Linked DNA regions of Astyanax mexicanus. The protein of the gene in region 2 binds, or shares a complex with, the protein of the main gene of each other region. Links are inferred from orthologs where the notes say so. Each region holds a gene or a part of one and is shown on either strand. Other genes may lie near its edges. The genes, in order: cntn4 and ca16b.

Region 1 (11,930 bases), about 9.9 Mb from region 2:
ACTCATCACTGAGATTTGGATCTGAGCAAAAACAAAATATTCATTACTAAATTACTACGTATGATGCCACTTAAGGGGATTCAATCAAACAGGTCATGTTTTAATGTTTTGATTCTTGACATAAGAAGTAGATGCACAGCGCTGTCTCTGTGTCTGTGTGAGTGACAGGCTGCTGCTGCCTGAGAAGCGCGAGGGGGAGGGGGAGGAGTCAACACTGGGTAACTGCATGACCTCCATCCACATGGTTGGGTACGTGCTTGTAAACGTGAGCACGTGTGGAAAGCTGTGCTCCTCAGTCCAGCACAGTTTAGCAGTGCAGATATTTCCAGTTACAGCTGAATTCACACTTTTAATCCCAGAAAAACAAACGCTCTTATTTACCTTTTAAAAAAGACATTTAAATGCTGATTAAAGGGCCGATTATTGTTTTTTTGCTGTTTTTCTCGGGTTTTGAGAACTTTGTGCTGATTCAGCTCTTGATTGGTCCGGATGCCAGACAGCACACACGCGGGGGGGCGGGGCTAGTGATGTCATGGACCCAGCGTTGTTTAATATTGTGCTATATACTGCAGAAAAAAGGACATCAGCGATGTATCATGTCTCCAGTATCGTGCAGCTCTACAGTGCTGTTTTATAAATGCTGGGTTTAAACTCGGATCTGTTCAGAACTCTGCAGTCGGTGGAAAAGCTCAGACACAGATGCCAGGATTACTCTCCCCAACCACACACACACACACACACACACACACTATACACACACACACACTATACACACACACACACACACACACACTATACACACACACACACTATACACACACACACACTATACACACACACACACACTATACACACACACACACACACACACTATACACACACACACACTATACACACACACACACTATACACACACACACACACACACACACACACACTATACACACACACACACTATACACACACACACACACTATACACACACACACACACACTATACACACACACACTATACACACACACACACACTATACACACACACTATACACACACACACACTATACACACACACACACTATACACACACACACTTCTGCTGAGGCACAGTTTAATGTTATTTATTCCTCTCAGTGACATCATCTAATCCATGACACTAAACCCAGGAGAACATCTGAATAATTAATTGGCTGGAGGCCAAGAACCAATAGTGTACCTGTCCAAAAGTATCCGGACACCCTTTATAATCTAATCTAATCTAATCTAATCTAATCTAAAAAACCTAAAGCTCTGACTGACAGAACAGAACCGTCTGGAGCCCCCAGACCCAAACCTCCCCACACCAGTATCCCCCCCCCCCCCCAGCTAACAGAGTTAACAGAGATGTTTTCCAAAGTTTTCAGGAAGTTCAGTCTGTACCGTTTTATAAATAATGCTGCAGAAATAACATAATAATGACATAATAATGTTTCTCATCACAACATTATTAGAACATTTCTTGCACAACAATCTCAACTAGAGAAATACTAACATTATACATTATATTAAAGTAATATTCGCAAAACTAAACATTAAAACACTGATAAGTGATGTTATAGAGAAACAGTCAATACTGTACAGTTTAAAAAGCTTAAATCAATATATCAATATATACACAATATAAAATATCATTATATAGTAATATCACAGCTGCTGTGGGTTACCATATATAAATGTGATTTATTTGAGATGACGGTGTTTCCTTCAGCTCTTTATATTTAAGACGAACGTCTCGACAACAAACAGGAAGAACAGCAGCGTTTACTGGTTAAATTCTCCATCAGGAAGAGACTAATTATCCAGCAAGAACCAGTGAAACACCAGCAACGTCACCACAACCCCCCAACCACCCCCCTTTACCTTTATAAACAACAATAAATCATCAACAAAAACAGAGACCCTCCACAGCAACCCCCCCCCCCCCCCCCCAACAAGGGATTCACCTCGACTAAACGACTAAAGAATACAATATTTTACTATTATATCACTGAAACATTGCGATTAAAAGCAGCCGGAGTAATACTGATTCAATAATAAACACTTAACTATTTACTACTTAAACTCTTTATATCATTTATGGTGTTAAATAAAAATGAACATTACAAAACATAATCAACATTATACTTTATTAAGGATTTATCATACTGTCACATATATAGTATATTTATATTTTTCTGAGATTTATCAAGATACGAGTATTTAGTCACATCATCCAGCCATAGTGCAAATAACTCACTGTAATGCCACTGAAGAACCGTATGTGAGTTGGGGTGATCCATATCATATTGTACACAATAATATCGCCAACTTTTTTTGAATAAATATGATATTATACCCTGAAATATGGAGCCATAACACCCCCCCCTAATTATCACATCAGGGTTCTTTTTACCTTTTTACTGTTTTTATCAAAAGAAAAATTCACACTGTTCTCATTTCCCATTATATATCTACTAGAGACAGATTATATCTGTCCAGTATCATTTATTTTACTTTAATCCTGGATATGTGGAGATATATGGAGTGCATTATTATTATTAGTATCATGATATTCTGGATCACTGACTTCTGTTACTGTAAATCTGATAAAATTCTTGTATTTCTTAATATCTCAGTTATTAGGGGTGTGAAATATCATATTGTATCATATGCAGTAATAAAATGTAATTTTCATTTTGTTGCAGTAACATTAGTGTATTCTTAAATATATATTTTTAATTCAGTGTTTTGTCATATTGCCAAGAGTATCGTTATTGCAGAAATACCATGAAATATTGTGATATAATTTTAGATCATTTTAGATAATAAAACCCTTAAATAATCATGTTAAACGTCCTTCACACTCGTTACAATACAAGTATTAAAGTGTGTTTCTCTGCAGAAGCAGAACCCGGTTATGGGTTTTCTGATTCGGGTCAGGGCCGGAGTCTCTCTGAGTTTCTGAGAGGACTTTAGCTGAGCTCAGATCAGCCGGTCCGGCCGGATTAAACGATTCGGACAGAGAGAGCAGATTAACCAACATCTGCACTTTTCATCTGTGAAACGCGACGCCAATCTCGTAGATGAGCTCCGTCCCGTTCTGACCGTTTCAGATCACCACCGTCACGCTAATCCCGCGTAACACACACCGAGCAGACGCTGCAGATTAAACATCCAGGAACAACCCAGACGCAAAAACCTCACAGAGAGAAGTTCAGTCTCCAGCAGAAACAACAACAATCATAAAGTACATTTACTCATGACTGGGTATTCACATATTCACTTCTCACAACTATTTTATAATGTATGCATATTTATATTTATAATATATATTATATGTATATTATCTATCTAACAACAACCATAATACCAGCAGCAGCAGCAGCAGCAGGAGAGTCAATATCAGAACTCAAACTGAATTAATGCACAAACTACATCAATATATCATATAAATATATACTAGAGTACAGACTGTAATAGAGCTGAGTAAATACAGCTGGAGTAAAGACATGTGAAAGTGATGTGAAAATACAGTGAATACAGTCTGACAGTTTATATATTTAAATGTATTTGTATATATATTTTATACAGGGACTGTTTCAGAGACAGGGATTAAGCCTAGTCTACAAAACATCCTGCAGGAAGATTTTCCACTGAAAGATTGAAACTGATCTATGATAAATCCCAGACCGTGAAACTAAACCACCGCGTATAAAAACAATAACTATTAAAACACCATTTTACTAGAGCGAAGAACCTCAATCTATAAAGAATCTTCTATACAGCAAAAACACGACAGTTACGAGTGAAAACACTACACTGCTACTATATACAACCTCTATAACACTAACAGTATAGAATCACAACTTTAAAACACTTTAATCTGAAATTTGATACGACAGCGTATGTATAAATAAATTTCTATAATAAAGTTAGTTATAATACACAGCTAATATTTTATGTTTAAAAAACGACGTAAGTGTTACAATCAAAAACTCGAGGTATAAATTCAAAACTAGTGTTGATTTACACTGATAAACCTGCTGTGTAACAAAATTAAAAAAACTAATATCACCAGTACTATCAGCAGTATTAATTTGTGTAGTAGTTTAATATTAACAGAAGATGTTTCAGAATTACATTAATTATTCAGTAGTAGGAGTTATTTATTATTAATTTCATTAGTAGTAGTATTAATAGTAATAGCATCGTTATTAGTAGTATTTGTTGTTTTATCATTACTAAAAAGATTATTATTAGCATTATAATTAAAGTAGTATTATTAGTATTGTCATTACTAGTAGTAGTATTGTTATTAAAAGCAGTTGTTGTTTCAGTATTACTATGATTACTATTAGTATTAAAGTAGTATTATTAGTAATATTAGTATTAGTTTTAGTATCAATATCTCTAACAGTAGTAGTATTATTATTGTTAGTAGAAGTAGTTGTATCAGTATCATAATATTGATTGCTAATATTAATATTAGTAGTGGTATTATCAGTATAGTAGTATGATTAGTATAGTAGTATTATTAGTAAAGCAGTATTATCAGTATAGTAGTGTTAATACAATGGTATGATTAGTATAGTTGTATTAACAGTATGGTAGTGTTATTAGCATAGTATTGTTAGTAATATGAGTATTATTTGTAAAGCCGTATTATTAGTATAGTAGTATCAATAGTAAAATGCTATTGTTAGTAATGAGTATTATTAGTAATATGAGCATTATTATAAAGGCAGTATTATTATTATAGTAGTACCAATAGTATAGTATTGTTAGTAATATGAGTATTGTTAGTAAAGCAGTATTGTGGGTATAATATTTTATTAGTAGCATTGTAAGTAATATGAGTATTGTTAGTAATATGAGTATTGTTAGAAATATGAGTATTGTTAGTGATGAGTATTGACAGTAAAGCAACATTATAAGTTTAGTTGTTATTAATATGATAGTGTTAATAGTATAGTAGCATTATTAGTAGTATTGTTAGTAACATAATTAGTGTTAGTAAAGTATTATGAGTATAGTAGTGTTAACAGTATAGTAGTATAAGCAGTAGTATTGTAAGAAATGATTATTGATAGTAAATCAGTATAGTAGTGTTAAGTATTAATATAATAGTGTTATTAGTATAGCAGTATTGTCAGTAATAAAAGTATTTTAGTAAAGCAGGTTTATAAGTATAGTAGTATTAATAGTAGTATTGTTAGTAATATGAGCATTATAGTTTAGTATGAGTATAGTAATAGTATTAATAAAGCGCGGTATTGTTGGTATAATAGTGTTTTTAGTATAGTATTATTAGTATAATAAGTATTAATGAAGCACAGTATTATTGGTATAGAAGTATTGATAGTAAAATGAGTATAGTTAGTGTAATTATGAATATTAATAAAGCGCAGTGAGGAGCGGGGCTGGTGTATCCGGTGGCCGGTTAGAAGCTCCTCTCCTCCCGCTCCTCCGAGTCTCAGCGCGCCGCGTCACTAACCCCCGCGCCTCCCCGCTCCTCCCCCGGGCTGAGCCGCTCCCCTGGCCGCTCTGCGCGCTGCTCTGGCCGGCGGCGGCTCGGCGCTGCCCCGCGGTCTCCGGGTCTCAGATACTCACTGTGCAGCGCGAGCTCCTCTCCTCCTCCTCAGGGCGCGCGGGCTGTTTCCCTCCGCAGCTCGAGCATCCGAACCGCACCGACCCCGCACACACACAACCCCGCACCGCACACACTGCACCGCGCCGCACACTGCCTCACACACACTCATACACACACATGCACGCGCGCGAACGCCCACACACACACACACACGCTCTCTTGGTGCTGGTGCAGGTGTCGGGAGCGGGAGCGCGCGGCGGCGAGGCTGCAGGGATTGAGCGCGTATCCCGCGCTCAGCTCGGGGAGGAGTCGCGCGCAGACTCCGAGAGGCGGCGCCTCCCACGCGCTCCAACCGGCGACGATCCGCGAGCGACCCAAATAAAACCCAGCCTGCGGTCCCGCAGCCCGGTCCGGTCCAACCAGGAGGATTCTGCTGTAGATCAGCAGCTCCGGATTCTGCAGCTTCTGATCTGATTTATTATACACTGAGGTACCGCGACTTGCAAAAGTCTTCATACCCCCTGAACTTCACCACATTCTATCATGCCCAATATTCATACATATAATGGCCCAATACCAAAAATGTAACTTTGTATCAACTCAAGACTTCTGAATTCTCCCAACTTTCACTTAAAAATAAATATTTGAGAGAAGATCTAGTTTTTTTTATATAAAAATGTTGACATAATTAAAAGGTTGGCAAATGTCTGATCTATTCACCACCAATGTAAAGAAATCTCTTCAATTCTCTACAATTTCACACCAAAAACACTATTAATTATTTTTTTCATCAATGGTATTAAAACTAGTGATATAATGTCTAATAGAAGTGCATTCATACACCCAACAAAACAAACAAAAAGTAGAAAATGGGTCTTTAACTATTGTTTTATATTATTTTTGACTCATCAGCAAAAAAACGGATTCACTTTCTGCTCACATCCTGTAACACAAACATCTAATCACAATTAATCACACTGATCACCAGTACAGATCAATAACTCACAGTGTGGAGTCATTGATTAATAAAACAGCAAAACAACAGCACTGCTAATCTCCAGGTGATTTACTTCCTACCACCTAACCTCCTACACCCCAAACTTCTACCCCCCAACAACCTCCTACCCCCCAACAACCTCCTACACCCCAACAACCTCCTACCCCCAACAACCTCCTACCCCCAACAACCTCCTACACCCCAAACTTCTACACTCCAACAACCTCCTACACCCCAACAACCTCCTACCCCCCAACAACCTCCTACCCCCCAACAACCTCCTACCCCCCAACAACCTCCTACCCCCCAACAACCTCCTACCCCCCAACAACCTCCTACACCCCAACAACCTCCTACCCCCCAACAACCTCCTACCCCCCAACAACCTCCTACCCCCCAACAACCTCCTACCCCCCAACAACCTCCTACCCCCAACAACCTCCTACCCCCCAACAACCTCCTACACCCCAACAACCTCCTACCCCCCAACAACCTCCTACACCCCAACAACCTCCTACCCCCCAACAACCTCCTACCCCCCAACAACCTCCTACCCCCCAACAACCTCCTACCCCCAACAACCTCCTACACCCCAACAACCTCCTACCCCCCAACAACCTCCTACCTCCCAACAACCTCCTACCCCCCAACAACCTCCTACCCCCAACAACCTCCTACCCCCCAACAACCTCCTACACCCCAAACTTCTACACTCCAACAACCTCCTACCCCCCAACAACCTCCTACCTCCCAACAACCTCCTACCCCCCAACAACCTCCTACACCCCAACCTGTTACCCCTCAACAACCTTCTACCCCCCAAACGTTTACCCCCAACAACCTACTACCCCCAAAATTTTACCCACAACAACCTCCTACCCCCAAAAACATTCGGCCCCCAACCTTTTACCCCCAACAACTTACTACCCCCCAAAAACACCTACAACCTTCTACTTCCCCAACTTTCTACCCCCAAACTTCTACCCCAACAACCGCCAACAACCCCCTACAACTTTCTACCCCTCAACCCCCCCCTTTCTCATCATGGTGATGCTGTTCACTGTTTTTAGTGAAGAGCAGGATCAGCAGGATCTCTCTCTCTCAGGAAGGAGGTGTAGTAGTGAGCTCTGAGATGTACATTATCTGATGAAATATTTATTCTCTTTAATGAGAACACATCCGTCTCCAGTGGGAGGAGCAGAACTTCTCCATCTCTCAGTACCGTTAGAGTACTCAGTGTAACTCAGTGGATGGATGTGTAGGTGTGGTGTGGACGGGGGTCTGCGGGGTCTGCAGGTCAGAGAGAGTATCTTAAGCCTCTCAGTGAGAGTCCTGATCAATAGCGTGAGCTTATTGACCCGCCGGCTCCCCGCGGCGGCGGTGATGGCGATGGCGGTGCTGTAGCGCGAGAGCTGCAGGGCGCGAGAGTGAAGGGTTTTGACAGCATTGTTATGTGCGTTTCTGCACTGCGGTGTGACCGGGGTCTGATTTGCATACGGTGACGCCGGAGCTGAACTCCAAAATCCGAGATAAACTGCCTGAGAAATACGACTCCTGGGCTTTTCTACACCAACACACACTCTCACAAATACAGGTATTTACAAGAGTTCTGTAAGTGATGCTGTAGATAAAACATTTTAATCTCAAACAACCACAGACTGCATTTACCCAAAATACAGCTCTGAAAAAAATAAAAGAGCACATAAAATGATGAGTTTCTTTGATTTGACCAAATTAAAAACCTCTGGAATATAATCAAGAGGAAGATGGATGATCACAAACCATCAAACCACCAAACTGAACTGCTTGAACTTTTACACCAGGAGTAAAGCAGCATAAAGTTATCTGAACCAAGTAGAGAATAAAGCTGCAGAGAATTTAGAAATGTAAAATGTGAAAATGACCCTGTACTGATGAGTTCAGGACGAGTTTACAGAAAGAATGTGACAAAATAACAGAAACACTTCATCACTTGGTTTTAGTTTTGTGTGTTGTAGGGAAAAATTGGAAAAATGGCAGAGTGGAGTTTTTTTTTTGCAATATATATTTAATTTATAATTTTATGTTTTACAGGCTTGAAATGCAGGATTGGATGCACGTTAACTACTGAATGAAGTTAAGCAAACGTTAATAAAATAAAACTTAAATTTTCCATACTATTTCAGTTTTTTCATTTTCGGATATAAAACAGATTTAACAGTGTAAGGAAGCTTTTAAAAGCTCAGATTGATGTAAAGGTTTATCTTTTCCAATTTTCTGTAGCTTTGCTAAATTTAAACCAGGTTCAGTGTTCAGCGTGTAGAATCAGATCTGCTCCTCGAGCTGCTGAAGCTTCTCTGCTTCTTCTGGATTTTTGTGGAGAAACTAATTAAAACGTGCAGCTGATGGATTATCAGATCAGTTCTGCGTAAATCAGTCCGACTTCAGGAGATCAATCAGCAGCCGGAGACGCGACGCAGCGACCGGCCTGATGGAGATAATCCACTAGATGGCACAAGCTAACAAGCCTGTTGTCAAACACACAACACACACTTAACACACACGCACAGTACACACACCCCCTACACACTACACACACTACACACCCCTTCACACACTCGGCTCTGAATGAAACACAGCAGAAACTCTGCAGCCGGACCCGGTGAACACCGCAGCGCCGGCTGGGCGGGATCTTCACAGTGTTATTTACATAATTACGACAGCGCCGTATCGCCGTCCAATCAGGGGTAGTGCTGCGATTCGGCTCGCTCCCACAAATGAATTCAACCTTTGATCCCTTCAATTTTTCTTTATCCACGCCTAAGCCCTAATTATAGTAAGTGGGATTTAAGAAAATCTTCTCCTTTCAAAACAGTCAATGGGAAAGACGATAATTAAAGGGGAAGTAAATTGAATTCCTGATGGGATTAACTGAGGAGAAACGCCGCAAAAAAAGAGCAGCAGTTCAGAGAGACCAACGCCGGATACTCCGACTTTAATTCAGTCAACTGTCCCTTCTTAAAAACACACACCAACTCACTAAACACACACACACACACACACTTTACACACTTACACACACACACTATACACACACACACTATACACACTTACACTCACAGTAAAGATTTAAAAAAAATCCTGCAATTTCTAACAAAATCTGAACAATTTAACACGTGAAGAATCACTCATCACTATGATCCTTGTTTAAATCCCAGGTCATTATGTTTCTCCATCAGCAGCCGGAGTCTGAGAGAGAGAGAGAGAGAGAGAGAGAGAGAGAAAGAGAGAGAGAGTACAGTAGGTCATGCTATTTCTCCATCAGCAGCCGGAGTCTGAGAGAGAGAGAGAGAGAGAGAGAGTACAGTAGATCATGCTGTTTCTCCATCAGCAGCCGGAGTCCGAGAGAGAGAGAGAGAGAGAGAGAGAGAGAGTACAGTAGATCATGCTGTTTCTCCATCAGCAGCCGGAGTCCGAGAGAGAGAGAGAGAGAGAGAGAGAGAGAGAGAGAGAGAGAGAGTACAGTAGGTCATGCTGTTTCTCCATCAGCAGCCGGAGTCCGAGAGAGAGAGAGAGAGAGAGAGAGAGAGAGAGAGTACAGTAGGTCATGCTGTTTCTCCATCAGCAGCCGGAGTCTGAGAGAGAGAGAGAGAGAGAGAGAGAGAGAGAGAGTACAGTAGATCATGCTGCTTCTCCATCAGCAGCCGGAGTCTGAGAGAGAGAGAGAGAGAGAGAGAGAGAGAGAGTACAGTAGATCATGCTGTTTCTCCATCAGCAGCCGGAGTCTGAGAGAGAGAGAGAGAGAGAGAGTACAGTAGGTCATGCTATTTCTCCATCAGCGGCCGGAGTCTGAGAGAGAGAGAGAGAGAGAGTACAGCAGGTCATTCTGAAACATATGTTAACCAGCTAACTGATCTGTTTCCAGTGTTTTATTTGTTGTTTAAATAACACGACTGTGTGTTTCTGTTTCACCAAACCTCAATAAAAGCTCTGAGACTTTTATTTTGCTCTCTATGCTACAATTCTATCATAAATAAACATCACTATAACCCCAGATCTCTGAATCACCAAATCTTCCGGATTATCACTTTAAGTGCAGGATTTCAGTAGAACACAGTGAGATTAGGGATGTTTTGGACGTTTCTTCAGTGAGGATTACGGATTATTGTTTAGGAGAAGTTCTAATATTATTCTAATATTAGTTCAGGTAGTTTCTCTGCACGCTTCACTGTTTCTTTATAAATATGGTTTTAATCTGCAGTGCATTGTGGGTAGTGTACTGAGACAGCACTGATCAGGGCTGGAGTTGGAGGGAGTTCCTCTCAGGCTGTTTGATGGAATCTGAGAGCTGAAGCTTCTGGAGATTTCCAGCTGAACTCGACTCAGAGTCACGTCTGTTCACACTCACTTCACCAGCGCTAATGACTCTCAGACCGAGACATTTAACCTCAGACTGTCCGTCTTTTAGCTAAAGGATAGCAGAGCCTCTGAACCGTGAAATAGAGCGAGTTGTACTGCTCTAAGTGTGGAGTTATCTCGCTCCGGACCAGGATAAATCAATTACGCCGCTCTCCGTTTTATCGATGCCGGGCAGGTGCGTGAGCTCCACCGTCACGTTGATATTCCGCGTGCACGCGGATTGTTGATAACTCATTAACTCAAGAAAATTCCCTTCCTGCAGGAGAGAGGTATGAGGAGCTTTATTAACCAGTAATGTGGAATGTTAAAAAATTAACAAGGCTGGTAATTTTCACAGTTTTAGCAGCTGAAGAAGCTTCAATCCTGCAGGACTGAGCGTTATTTTCAGTAGAGTAAAGTCAGACGCGGTTTTTATCATGGTGAAGATACTCGAGATGTTTACCCGAGACAAGGTCAGTGTTGTCACCGGTGCTGAGAGCCACCCTCAACTATCTCTCCTCCAACAAAGACATGAATCCAGTCCAGCGGAGAGCGAGTTCAGCCAACATTAGCCAGACTCTGAGCGGCGGAACGGATTTAGCCCTGCATTACACAGGAAGCTGCAGTTATCAGGCCTTTTTATCAGTGGCCACAGGCTTGTTACCAAATAACGGCTGATATTCCCTTTCCATTTCTAATCACATTTCAGATTCTGGCTTCATTCGTCAACGCTTTTAGCTCCGGCTGAAAAAAACCCCAAACTGACAGATACTCTACACTCTATGTTCCAGTCCAATACGATAAACTATAATACCGACTGTTCCCCGACACCAGACTTCACAATAACAAGATCCTATCTGTTAAATCTGCCGCTCTGAGAACATCCACTTCTCCTTTCTGAAAAAGGAAGATGAAATCTGTTTATTTAAACAACAAACAACAAAGCAAAGA
Region 2 (12,540 bases):
AGATATGGACAGGTGTAGGCGAGTAGCGATTTTCTTGTAGCCATTGCCTGACTTGTGAAGGTCAACACACATCTGCCTCACTTGAATGGTATGTTCCTTTGTCTTTCCCATGTTGAAGATAAATGGCCTCTGTGTCACGTCATATTTATACCCCAGGGAAACAGGAAGTTGTGAATTACTAATTAAATGTTCATACATAGAATTGTTAGGGGTGCCAATAATTGTGGAACAGGTGATTTTATGAAGAATAATTATTTCTTAGTCAGGGATTTTATTTCCCCCTTAAAATTTACTTGAGTTAAAGGTTGGACTTTACTTTTTTTTCCCATCGTGGTCCTATATTATTTTGAACAAAACTCAATTTATGAGAAGCTAAAGAACACATCTTAACCAGGGGTGCCAATAATTATGGAGGGCACTGTACATAAACTCTAAAAAGCAACTGTTCTTTTTTATGCAAGCAAAAACAAAACACTAAACAAACCACTGTCTGAAACCAATCTTTACATTAAAGACTGATAATTCAAAATCCACACTGTGTTTTTGAGACAGTTTTGCAAAACATAATAACGTGATGCTTCAATATATCGATATTTTCTAACACCCCTACTAAAGAACTTCCCAGAACCATCTCACCGAGTCACTGAGGAAGCTATACTGTTTTTGTACATTAACTGTATAGTGGGCTATCCAGGTCATTTTACCTCAAGGTCAACTAGAATATAGAATTGTTCTTTATGGCTATTTCAGCTAGAGGATGAAATAGGCATGAAACTGTGCACAATTCAAAAACCTTCACTCTTAAAAATGAAGACTCTTCAAAGGGCTCTTTGAGCAATGCCATAGAGGAAACATTTTCAGCGCCATAAAGAAGCACGGGCCTCAATCAGCAACTGATCTTAAAAAGAAATTTATTTTCTGAAAACCCACTTAGAAAGAGAAGAACTGCACCAGCTTAGATTCTAATTCTATGTGGGATTAGATCTGGCCTAAACTGACTGCTACCTTAAATAATCCTGCTAATCAATTAATTAACTCCATTAAATATATACACAGGGCTTACTCTGGATTATGCTCGAGCAAAATAACGTTCCCACACCCTGTTGTAATGTTTGCAATGACTATTTTGTCTATGCATTTCTACTAGGAGTGAGAATCATAGAGAATCATCTCATTAAACACTATTATTACGATACACTGCACATGATAATGATGATGATGTAATGATACTGTCATTCTGTGGTACTTGATATTATCACAAGACAATTCTCTTCAATACTTCACGACATCCGTGTTACTAAAGAGGAGAAATTAATAAACCAAAAAATATATACCAGGGAAAACAGATTTATTGGTGTCAGTTTAACATAGTTTAACCACCCAATTTATTAGATTAATTACCCTACTTATAAGATAAGCACTACAGCATGAAGTAATGAAGCAGTAACTTTAGTACATCAAACTGAGGTGCGAGTGTGAGAGAGTTTCAATAACAATATTGATAACTGATGCTAAATATTTATATGATATGATATGATACAATCAAGACAACATGATATATCACAATAATGATATATATATATATATATATATATATATATATATATATATATATATATACATATATACAGCTCTGGAAAAAAATAAGATACCACTTAATGATGATAATTTTCCTTGATTTTACCAAATTGAAAATTAAGAGCAAGATGGATGACCGCAAGCCATCAAACCAAGCTAAACTGCTTGAATTTTTGCACCAGGAGTGGCAAAAATGTATCCAAAAGCAGTGTGTAAGACTGGTGGAGGCAAAGAATGCCAAGATGCATGAAAACTGTGCTAAAAACCAGGGTTATTACACCAAATATTGATTTCTGAACTCTTAAAACTTTATGAATATAAACTTGTTTTCTTTGCATTATTTTTGCGTTTGAGTATATTTCATCCATATAATATAACTGATATGCTTGAAATTCCTATTAACACAAATCCATGTCTGTTTATTAAATGATTAAATGATCAATAGTTCTTTTAACTTGACATATTATATTACCTATATTACCTATAATATCACAATATTTAATTGACCCATAGTGAAAATGCATCTGTAGCAGCAGAATCTTACAAGACAATCATTTTTCCTAAAATTATTATTCTATAGATAATATTCCTCACCTCGTGAAGATGACTGCAATAATGAATTGAGTTAAATTGGCTTCAGTTTTGTGTGGGAGGCAATTAAATAAGCTTTTAGGGATTTAATATTCACCCATTATCACAAAAAACACTTAGAAATGAGGCTTTTTCACAAGGATTCTGATATTCATCAGTGTTAATGAGGATACTGGGATCCATCATTATATGAACATTCTATATATAACAGTTCTGTGCACCAAATGAACCTGAAAACTGTAGACAATTACAGCTCTTTTTTTTTAAAGAACAAATTTAGGAAAATAAGATCCTGGTGAATAAAAAAGGATAAGGTGTAAAAGCGTGTAAAAAGAACCTTCCAAAGGTGTAAAGAAGGTGATGTAAAGGTTCTTTTCCTATTGAAATGTTCTTTGCACTCATATTTCCTTTACAAAAATGGTTCTTCATGAATCTAAACATGAATCAGTACACTGGACATATTTCCAGACTGTACTTTTTTTAAGCTTAATGGAAACAGATGTAATTCCTCAAGGTAAACCGATCCATCACTAAGTGCTCTGGACAAAATGGTCTTGGGTATCAATAAATAATACAGTCATGTGTGTAATATGGGCATAGACCTTCTACCCATGCAGCGACTAAATAGAAATCTTCATATCATGCCACCCTATCCTGCATCAAATCAATGTCAAATTATGTTCTGACTTTGAGAGATAAATCAACATTGATATTGCGATGTTGTTTCTACACCTTTAAACTACAGATTATGTGTTGCTTTCATTCTTACACTGTACACTTTTAATATATTTGATCCTTTTTGTGTTTGTTAACGACAATGGTTCTATAGAGAATACAAGCATGAAATGTAAAAAAAAAAAAAATATATATACATATATATTCATTCACAATCTTTACTGTCTAGTTTGATTCTGGTGTTGTTTTCCATTTATATCACTAACATATATCACTAAATATATTAAGTGGTCTTATTTAAGTCAAGATATAATAACTAATGCTTATACAACCATTCAAGACAACAGCACAACAGCAATGCGTTTTCTTTCTAATTTACAGTTACTGATTTATGATTTAACCCCTTCTATTATGTTAATTTATTAGGACCAGGAATGGTGTTGCCGGGTCACTTTGACATGTTTAAGTATCCAAAAAATGTCTAAAACCAAATCAATGTTGATGTTACGGTTGAATCCACATTGGATTTGGTGTTGATTTTAAAAAATGTGAATCAACATTGATATGGCAACATCATATGTTCAACCTTTAATAAACCATAGCTCACTAAAATTAGAAAATCCTATGGTTAACAAAGTGTTAACAATAAACTTACATCCCTGTAATAAAGCTGAGTATAAAGAAAGTTACCCACCACTACCAATCTGATTACTGAACATCTGATCTCAAAAACACTAAAACAGTAAAACTAAAAGAACATGGTGTTAAATTAAAAAGCAGTTACTGCAAATAGAAGTAAAACACTGTTTCATTCCTCCATCCAACCATTTGTAGATAAAAATGTTAAATGCTGATTCAAAAAGCAGAAGGTTGAGGACATTATATTGATTGAACATTGAAACAATGTTGAATCAACATTTAATGTTAAATGGTTGTGCAAACTTTGAAATTTTAAGTTGAATCAGAATAATGTCCTAAATAATGTCCTTCTGCCTTTTAACTCAGCATTTAACATTTCATCAGCAATTTCTAAAAGCGGTTGGATGGAGGAATGAAAAAGTGTTTTACTTCTATTTGCAGTAACTGCTTTTTAAGTTAATACCATGTTCATGTTCTAATAGTTTTACTGTTTCACTGTTTTTGAGATCAGATGTTCAGTAATCAGATTGGTAGTGGTGGGTCACTTTTTTATACTCAGTTTTACTACAGTCATGTAAGTATATTGTTAACACTCTGTTAACCATAGGATTTTCTCATTTTAGTAAGCCATGGTTTAGCAAAGGTTGAATTTATGACGTTGAAACAACGTTGCTATATCACTTTTCAAAATCAACACCAAATCAAACGTTGATTTAACCACAACATTAACGTTGTTCAACGTTGATTCAGCCTTGAAATGCCAGCTGGGTAATGTTGATTCAACTTTGTTTGAATGTTGAAAAAACAACAGACATTACTTTAGTCATATTTCAACCTCATTTCAACGTTGAAGGTCGGTTGTGTGCCAGCTGGGTTGATTGTTTGGCTAGATGTTGCCAGGTTTGGGTGGTTGAGCTTTTAAGGACAATTTAGGAACTTTTGCTCAAATTCTGCCCACAATACTTACGCACTGAGTGCTCGGTGTACTGGAGTGTGTTCAGGCCCACTTACCGGGATAGCAGCTGAAAGACTGGAGGAGGAGAGCTGCCAAAGTCAAGCCCAAGACCGAGAGACGGCGCGGTTCCCGTAGACTCCACATGTCTGAATGCGCATTGATGGCGAAGCGCGCCCGCACGGATTGAAAGGACGCGTGTATTATTAATACTAATGACTATAATAATCAACATAAAAGAAAACGATGAAGATGAAACCACTGATTTCAGCAGTTCATCTCAGCGCGCACGAGCAGTTCAGGGCTGCGTGCTCGCGCTCCGCGGGACATCACACCGGGCAGCCCACGTTAGGCAAACGCAAACACGCACACACGTTAATTCTCGGTGACGTCCTCATGCAGCGCGAGCCCCCTTCACGCTTCCATCATCGTCCGTATAAGTCCAATAATTAAAATTCCGCGCGGTCCCGGAGCTCAGCGGTCCTGCTCGTCTTTGCTATGCCGAGGAAAAGCCGGGGACTGTCGCGGATCGCTCGCGCTGCTCCATGCAGGAACTTGTGAAGGAAGAGGCGCGAGGGGCTCTGACTGAGGGATTAGTTCTACAGCAGCAGCAGCGCGAGCGGGCAGGAAGCAGGAGCACGCATGCACACACACACACATACACAGACACACACGCGCGCGCACAGAGAGACCACCCCTCCGGATCCTAGCGCCGAAGGCTGGACGCGCCTTCCTTCAGCGGTTGTTGAGTCAGACCGGCTAAAGATTGGCTACTGGACGACTCTGCATTTGCATAACGTCCATTTACAGCAGGCAAACGACTCCACCAGCTTTTGCATGCTGGCACTGATTTGCTTCAATGCTCTTACTCTGACCCACGTGCCCAAGCCATTTTTTACAGTAAGTAAGTTTAAAAGGACCTCTACATGACCTTAAACCATTTGGTCCAATCTCAGTCATTCAGGAAAGTCAATTAGAAACATTTATTAAAATGTTGATTGTCTGAACAGCAGAATCACTTGATATGTGAACATCAGCTGAAGACCAACCTCTTCCATAAGCACATAGTGCACTAATACTTATTAAAGATTATGTTGCATTACTATATCTTGTTCTTGTTGTTCTTTGGATGATCTTGCATAGTTGTGTACTGTAATTTCTACACTCTGAAGAATTGTATCACTAGCAATTGAACTTGTGTGGCTCATGCATGGGAGCATCTGATCTCAGAGTAACTAGAATCCAGGGTCTCTCGACACTTTCCTTGAATGTTCTACGTGAATGACTAAGCACTCTGCAAGTTGCTCTGGATAAGAGTGTCTGCCAAATGCTGTAAATGTAATAGAAGATTTCTGGAAAATTCAGCACAAAGCAGCATTTGCTGTTAACTGGTTTTAGGTGGTCTAAGCCTTCGTTTGTCACGGTGGTTAAGAAGCTGGTCATTCAGACCCAGCATGCCCTATACTGGTAAACCAGTTTGTCACCAACATAGTGTATGCTTCATTAGATTTTATTCATGCTTAGCCATGCTGAGCATCCAGCTAGGTCTTGCTGGTAATCTAGCTCGGTGATGGTGGGAATGCTGGTCAACCATCTGCCTTTACAACCCTCTTTCTTAAGGTCTCAGAGAGAGCTCTTTGGATCTGGCTATATTGATCCACTCAACTATAACAATCACATCAAACTAATGTATTAGGATAAAATAAGTCAGGCTCCTCCCACATCCTCTCCAAACACAATTGAATCATTTGCAGCTGATAAGCTGCGTCAAATTCTAATTTTTGACATTTTAAGTAGTACTAAATGTGATAGTAAAAGAAACATTTTCCTGACAAGAATAAAAATACAATTTACAAATATTATATATCAATATATATATCAATGTGTGTGTGCAAATGTTTTAGGCACCTGTGGGAAGTTCTGTAAAGAATAAGGGTCTTTCTGTGAAGTAAGTGTGTATTAGCTCAGTAAAACATTAGCATTACTAGTATTACTTTACATTATTCTAGTTCTCATCATATCAACAACTGGTTTGGTAAATTGGTAAATCAGGTGAGCTGCTGACAGAACTGAACATATACACATGCACAAATTGAGAATTCCTTGTTACTTTTTACTGTATTTATATGTTTTTTTAGGTAAAACACTCATATTGCTGAGATAAATGGATTAGTGTAATTTGCTTTGATGCCTAAAACTTTTGCACAGTCCTTATATACGCATTTGTTTAGTTATGTAAGCTCCATCTCTCAATACTATTAATACTGTTAAAGTTAAAGTGATGGTCTGTTGTAAGTTTTTGGTGAGAATGAGTAATCGCACCAAACATGCTACAAAATAATTTTTAAATTACTGCATTATGGTGCGGTATCTATTGGGAGTAAATGAATCTGGTGATTTTAGTGAGGATTTTGTTGCGTGCCGTTTTATCTTGCAAGCTGTCTTCAGTTCTATTTCTGTGTTTCTTTGGCTTATGATTAGTGAAGAAAGAGATTAAGAGTTTGACATTCTGATCTCTCAATCTCCATCTTCACATTAGCCCTTGTATCAGTGCCAATAGCAGCACCATGGTTGTTCAGGTAAAAGCGACACAAAGCCACAAAAAGGTAATGGGACCTACTGGACACTTCCAGGGACTGACTTTGGACTTGATATAATATTTTTTTCTCTGGAAAACAGTAAGGAAGTAACAGTAAGTAATAACAGTAATAACTTAATAAACTTTTCATCCTTCCCTCTGCTGACAAGTTTTATGGAGGTGCGGATTTCATTTTCCAGCAGGACTTGGCACACTGCCCACACTGCCAAAAGTACAAATGAGTCTTATATAATATTAAAATACATAATAATACATTTTGAACTGAATTTCTGAAATAAAGTATTTTTTTTTTATTATATTCAAATATTTTGAGAGGCACTGGTATATGCAGCTTTGCAAGAATAGTAGCAGAAGCACATTAATGCAATTATATATATATATACATATATATATATATATATATATATATATATATATATATATATATATATTTACTACTATGTTCAATTTAAAAGAAGCAATCTAAAGAACTGCTGCTTTCATCTAAAATGTAAAATTAGTTTAAATAAGTATTAATAGGGTGTTTTATTTTTTTCCCAAATTACTGAATATGCATATATGCGTTTGGCTGTGTGTGTATATATATATATATATATATATATATATATATATATATATATATATATGCATACAATTTGTATGTATTTTAAAGGTACAAGCCTTATAATCAACTGTTTAGAGCACTAAATGGCCCTATATAGAGGTTCTTCACAGTTTGAAAGGGTTTTTATCACTTACACATTTTAAATGTCTTCAGGCCCACAGGTTCTTTTGGGAACCAAATGTTACTCACACCAAAAACTTTTTCTGGCACCTTTATTTTTAAAGTGTTAAAGAACACACACAGAGAAGGACACACATTTAAGCTTGATTAACTTGTTTAACCTTTCTGTTGCCGTGTTTTGGCACTTTAATCTGACCCTTTAAAGCTGCAAACATGGTGTGTTTAGCAATGCTGTAATCTATATAAAATGTTCTAGTAAACCCGTTAATGGCCTTGACTTTCAGCCAATCAGCTTAACATCCATTACCAACAGAGTGGACGTGTTAAAGGCTATAGATGTGTGGATAAAATGTATAGCCTATATAAACAGCCGTATATTTGCCTCCTATATATCTGTGGAGTTTCTTTATCGCTACTCATAACTGTTTAATAACGGAGCGAATGAATAATGAATGACATTTTCCTTTGTGTTGTTATTACTCAGGCTGAGAAGGAGATGTGTGTTGTCTCTCTCTCTCTCTCTCTCTCTCTCTTTTTCTGTCTTTTCTCCACTGAATGGGGTGCCTGCTCTTTAAGCCACAGAGACCGGCGCTGTCCACGGTTCTGAAAGTTTGCCAGGCCTTTGGCATTGGCCGTGCTTCTGAAGGCCTGCCCCTCCCCCCAGAGTGCCACAGCCTATATTGTTCTATTTTTCAGCATGAAGATGGCTAATGTTGGCACCACAGAGCTACAGGCTGTTCACTAAATCCTTGATGGCACACCCAGTTTGTGGGTATCTCACTGGAGATAACACACAGGGAATAACAGCAGTTCTACATCTGGCAATTCACCAGCAATTAACGTTGTGATTCATTTGGCCTTGCACTGATAAAAGCACGTCTCATTTACAGCTGTAATTGTTTGTATGCCCTCTAACCTGTGGCAAGAAACTATCAGTGCATTTCACATTCTCGCTTGATTTAAAGGCTACCTGGATTGGGATTTACAGTATAACACATGCATATACATCAGATTACATATTTAGTTATAAATGTATTAAAATTTATCTTGTCAAGCAGAACCAGTGGAAGATTATTGATTATTGTGTATTTATCAATAGGTGAAATCAGCCCAGTTTTGTCCAAAGAGTTGCATTATGTTTTAAGCAGTAAAAAATCGGCTCTTTTTATACTGCAAGGAATAGAAAACAGATAAATGGTTGAAACATTTCTCCTATTCTGTTATATTTTAACGACACAAGTGCAAGGCTTAAAAATAGGCTGTTGACAGTGTATAAGATAGCAAAGTGCATCACAATGTCCCTTGTGCAGAGTGTATGATAGGGAACAAGAGGTTGCTATACTAAACATCCTGAGAGCATCACAGCAGAGTGCGTTCATCTCACCTTATTTAAAGAGTGTAGAAGTGCTGGCTCCTTTTAAAGTGTATTATTTGCTTCTACAGCTCTGTTTCAACTATTTAACCATTCAAAAGCTTACGTAAATTAATGTTTTACGTTCCTTAGAACTAATTCTGACATGATTTCTAGAACCAAATGTTAATAATAGTTATGAAATTGTTGTTCTGTCATTTATGTTACATCATGATTAACAGTCATGTGTCTGCAATAAGAAACAAACATGAATGAGCTGCTAAGTGAATTTATCTGATTCAATTTTAAAGTGGCAGTCTGTATTATTTTGTTTCTAAACTGAAAGCAGAAGCATTTATGAGTGGAGAAGAGATAAAATATTGTGTTTAATGGTACCAGTGTGCTGAAACCAATATCCCTGCTTAGCCTAATATATTCATTATAAAAACTGGGGTGTTGGGTTGCTTTTCGTGGGAGTTCCTCTGGCCACGTACTTACGCCACACGTACAGCCTCTAAAAGAAGATCCGGCTCAGTTTTACTGAACACGAGCAGCTGGTGGAGCAATGGAGACTTCAGAAGGGGAAACTCAGAGCTCAGTAGCTCATTCACTCATAGTAAAAACAAAGGAAGGAGTGAAGAACAAAAACAGTCGAAGGAGTGAAGTTTCTGACTGAGCGCTTTCTCTCTCTCTGACTGAACATAACCTGGAATTTGATTCATCCGCTCTGAAAGGAGACCACATCACACCCGCCCAATTTAAAATGATTCTTCTGCATGCTCTGTGGAATTACTCATTCTCACCAGAGAGGGCACTAAATCCCAAAACTTACGGACACCAGCTTTAAAATTGGTATCAATATTGAGATATTTAGGCCTGGGCTCTTATTAATGCATTACTTCCAAAGTAGGGTTGGTTTATGAAGCCCATGAAACCAAAAGCAGTTCTTCTTTGGCAGGGCTCAAAGATCAACTTGTAGCACCTTTACTTTTAAAAGAGAATAAGAAGAGGATGAGTTAACTGAACAAAAGTTCATGTAAGTTCCATCAGGCACCTCAGACCTCAGACTGCATGAAACCTGACTGATTTCCTCCTTTGCTGAGGCCAGCTCTGTGAAAGCTTTAAGTGTCCATTGGCTCTCCTTAACTCTGTCAAAAGTGTGAGTTGAATACTTTATCACTAATTATCACCTCCAGGCTCTCTCTGCAGCAGGTAGGTCGGTGTGGGCTTGGTAAGCGGGCTTCAGTGAGCTCCTCAGACAGCTGATATAAAGGAGAGGCAGTGGGATGATGAACAGCAGGAGAATTTGGGAGAGAAGCCCAGCTGGACTTTAATTTGAAGAATCTGATTAAATTCGGTATTTAATTACCCTTCTCTCAGAGGGGCTGTTGGGGACCGTCACAGTGTTCTGAGCATGTAGAGTGTGGGCCATCTGCCTGTTCTTCTGGAACTCTCTCTGGTGACCCCTGGAAGATACACACACATACCCACACACAAACACAGGCACACACAGACACATACACACACTATGACCGAAGACAGACGTCGTGTCCCCAATTGCATGCTAAATAATTGTTTGTTTTTTTGGAGTGCATAGTATACAATGTACTCTCCCTGTCCAAAAGTATATGGACAACTCATTTAATTAGTAAATTTAAATGCATTATGGTGGATCCATTGCTGACACAGGTGTTCAACAGTACACACACACACACACACACAGTACAAGGGTTGGACAATGAAACTGAAACACCTGTTTTTAGACTACAATCATTTATGTCCCGACAGACAGTTCTGGTGGAAACAGGAAAGTTGAGGTGCACATTGAATTCTGTCGTGATTTGATCAGCCGTGGTTTTAATTTTTTTGGATACAATCCGGGTTAGTACCCGAACATTCCTTTCAGACAGCTTCCTCTTACAGCATCCACAGTTAATCCTGTTGGATGTGGTTGGTCCTTCTTGGTGGTATGCTGATGTTACCCTGGATACCGTGGCTCTTGATACATCACAAGACTTGCTGTCTCGGTCACAGATGCGCCAGCAAGATGTGCACCTACAATTTGTCCTCTTTTGAACTCTGGTATGTCACCCATAATGCTGTGTGCATTGCAATATTTTGAGCAAAACTGTGCTCTTACCCTGCTAATTGAACCTTCACACTCTGCTCTTACTGGTGCAATGTGCAATTAATGAAGATTGGCCACCAGGCTGCTCCAATTAGCCATGAAACCTCCCACACTAAAATAAGACAGGTGTTTCAGTTTCATTGTCCAACCCCTGTATAATCTCTATAGATTATAGGTTTTATCCATATGAGCCTAATTATCACTATGCCCAATGCCAAGCATCATCTAGAAGTGTATAAGGCCCTAGAGCACTTTACTGTTGCGAAGCAATGGAACTGCATTATAGGAGATGATGGAGTTCCATCTAATATGTTAGATAGAATGAGCTGCAGTGATGCAGTTTTAACATCAAGCATCAGCACCTAACTAATCACCAATGCTAATGTGGCTAAATGCAATGTAATGCAATGTAACTGAATGCCTTCTCAAATAATAAGAAGCTGTTACAGCAGCAAAAGGACAATTGTGTAAAGGATCTCTAAACTAGTAAAGGACCTTTACCAGAAAAGAATGCAATAATGTATTTTTGTAATACTCACAACCATGCTTCTTCATAGAACCAAACATAGATGTTCTTTAAAATCATTCAAAGAACTGCTTGAAACATCAATATTTTATAGACTGTATTAGATTAAGTGCACACTATATTACTGTAGCATTGATAATACATTATACTGCAACCGTGAGAGTTTTATGGGTCTTGCTGACGTTATTGAGATAGTTGCACTTCACTTGGACGGCGTCAACCTTGGAGATAAATACTTGTGGCAACCTCTGCTTGTACAGATCAATGGGTTGGATTAGCCCCGTAAATCCAAAGAAAGGGTTTTCTCACGGGAGTCCCATTTCAATCAACATTAATCAAACCCAACACCTCTTGCCTATGCATTTCTGCTGCAAGCATGACTCCAACAATCCTCCCAAATGTCCTCCGGCCTTCAACACCCACACACACACACACACAAAAAGCATGCACTTAATCACCAAACATATTGCTGCAGCCAGAAGGAAGTGTCAGATTTTGGTGGTTAAAAGGTACTAGGAACAATAAATTATTAAAAATATACACTGATATGGGCAATACTGGTTGAAGAATATGCCGTCACATCAATGTCAAAAGTCGGGGACGCAAAAATACCAGGTGAAAAAAAGCATCAGCATGTTTTAACATTTTGGGTGTGTAAATTAACTTCTCGTGAGCACAAATGTAAAACACTATTGGCTGATATCTTCAGGGTTCGTGACGGACCACTTACCTCCATGAGTCGGAGGAAGGTGGGGAAGGAAGGATGGCAGAAGAGTT

What was found.
Region 1: the proteins of ca16b (region 2) and cntn4 are in contact, whole or in part, in a crystal structure (PDB 3KLD), measured with the Mus musculus proteins. The link is inferred for Astyanax mexicanus from reciprocal best matches to the Homo sapiens genes PTPRG and CNTN4. Residues at the interface, in NP_033007.2 of Mus musculus: Lys222, Val225, His226, His227, Lys229, Phe288, Thr290, Gln293, Asp294, His295, Val296, Lys297, Ser298, Val299, Glu300, Tyr301; in NP_001103219.1 of Mus musculus: Thr128, Arg129, Ser130, Val132, Ser133, Arg135, Gln138, Gly139, Met140, Val141, Leu142, Leu143, Cys144, Gly145, Val219, Met220, Gly221, Glu222, Tyr223, Glu224, Pro225, Lys226, Glu228, Leu250, Asn304.

Annotation. Positions count from the first base shown.
Region 1 is NC_064412.1:221,361-233,290, forward strand, and holds the start of cntn4 (contactin-4), read right to left. Parts: upstream 5,840-11,930; 5' UTR 5,626-5,839; intron 1-5,625. Other genes in the region: uncharacterized protein LOC125802241, read left to right, coding at 5,840-6,040, 6,640-7,653. UniProt on the Homo sapiens protein: Contactins mediate cell surface interactions during nervous system development. Has some neurite outgrowth-promoting activity. May be involved in synaptogenesis.
Region 2 is NC_064412.1:10,143,307-10,155,846, forward strand, and holds the start of ca16b (receptor-type tyrosine-protein phosphatase gamma), read right to left. Parts: upstream 5,111-12,540; 5' UTR 4,583-5,110; coding exon 4,495-4,582; intron 1-4,494.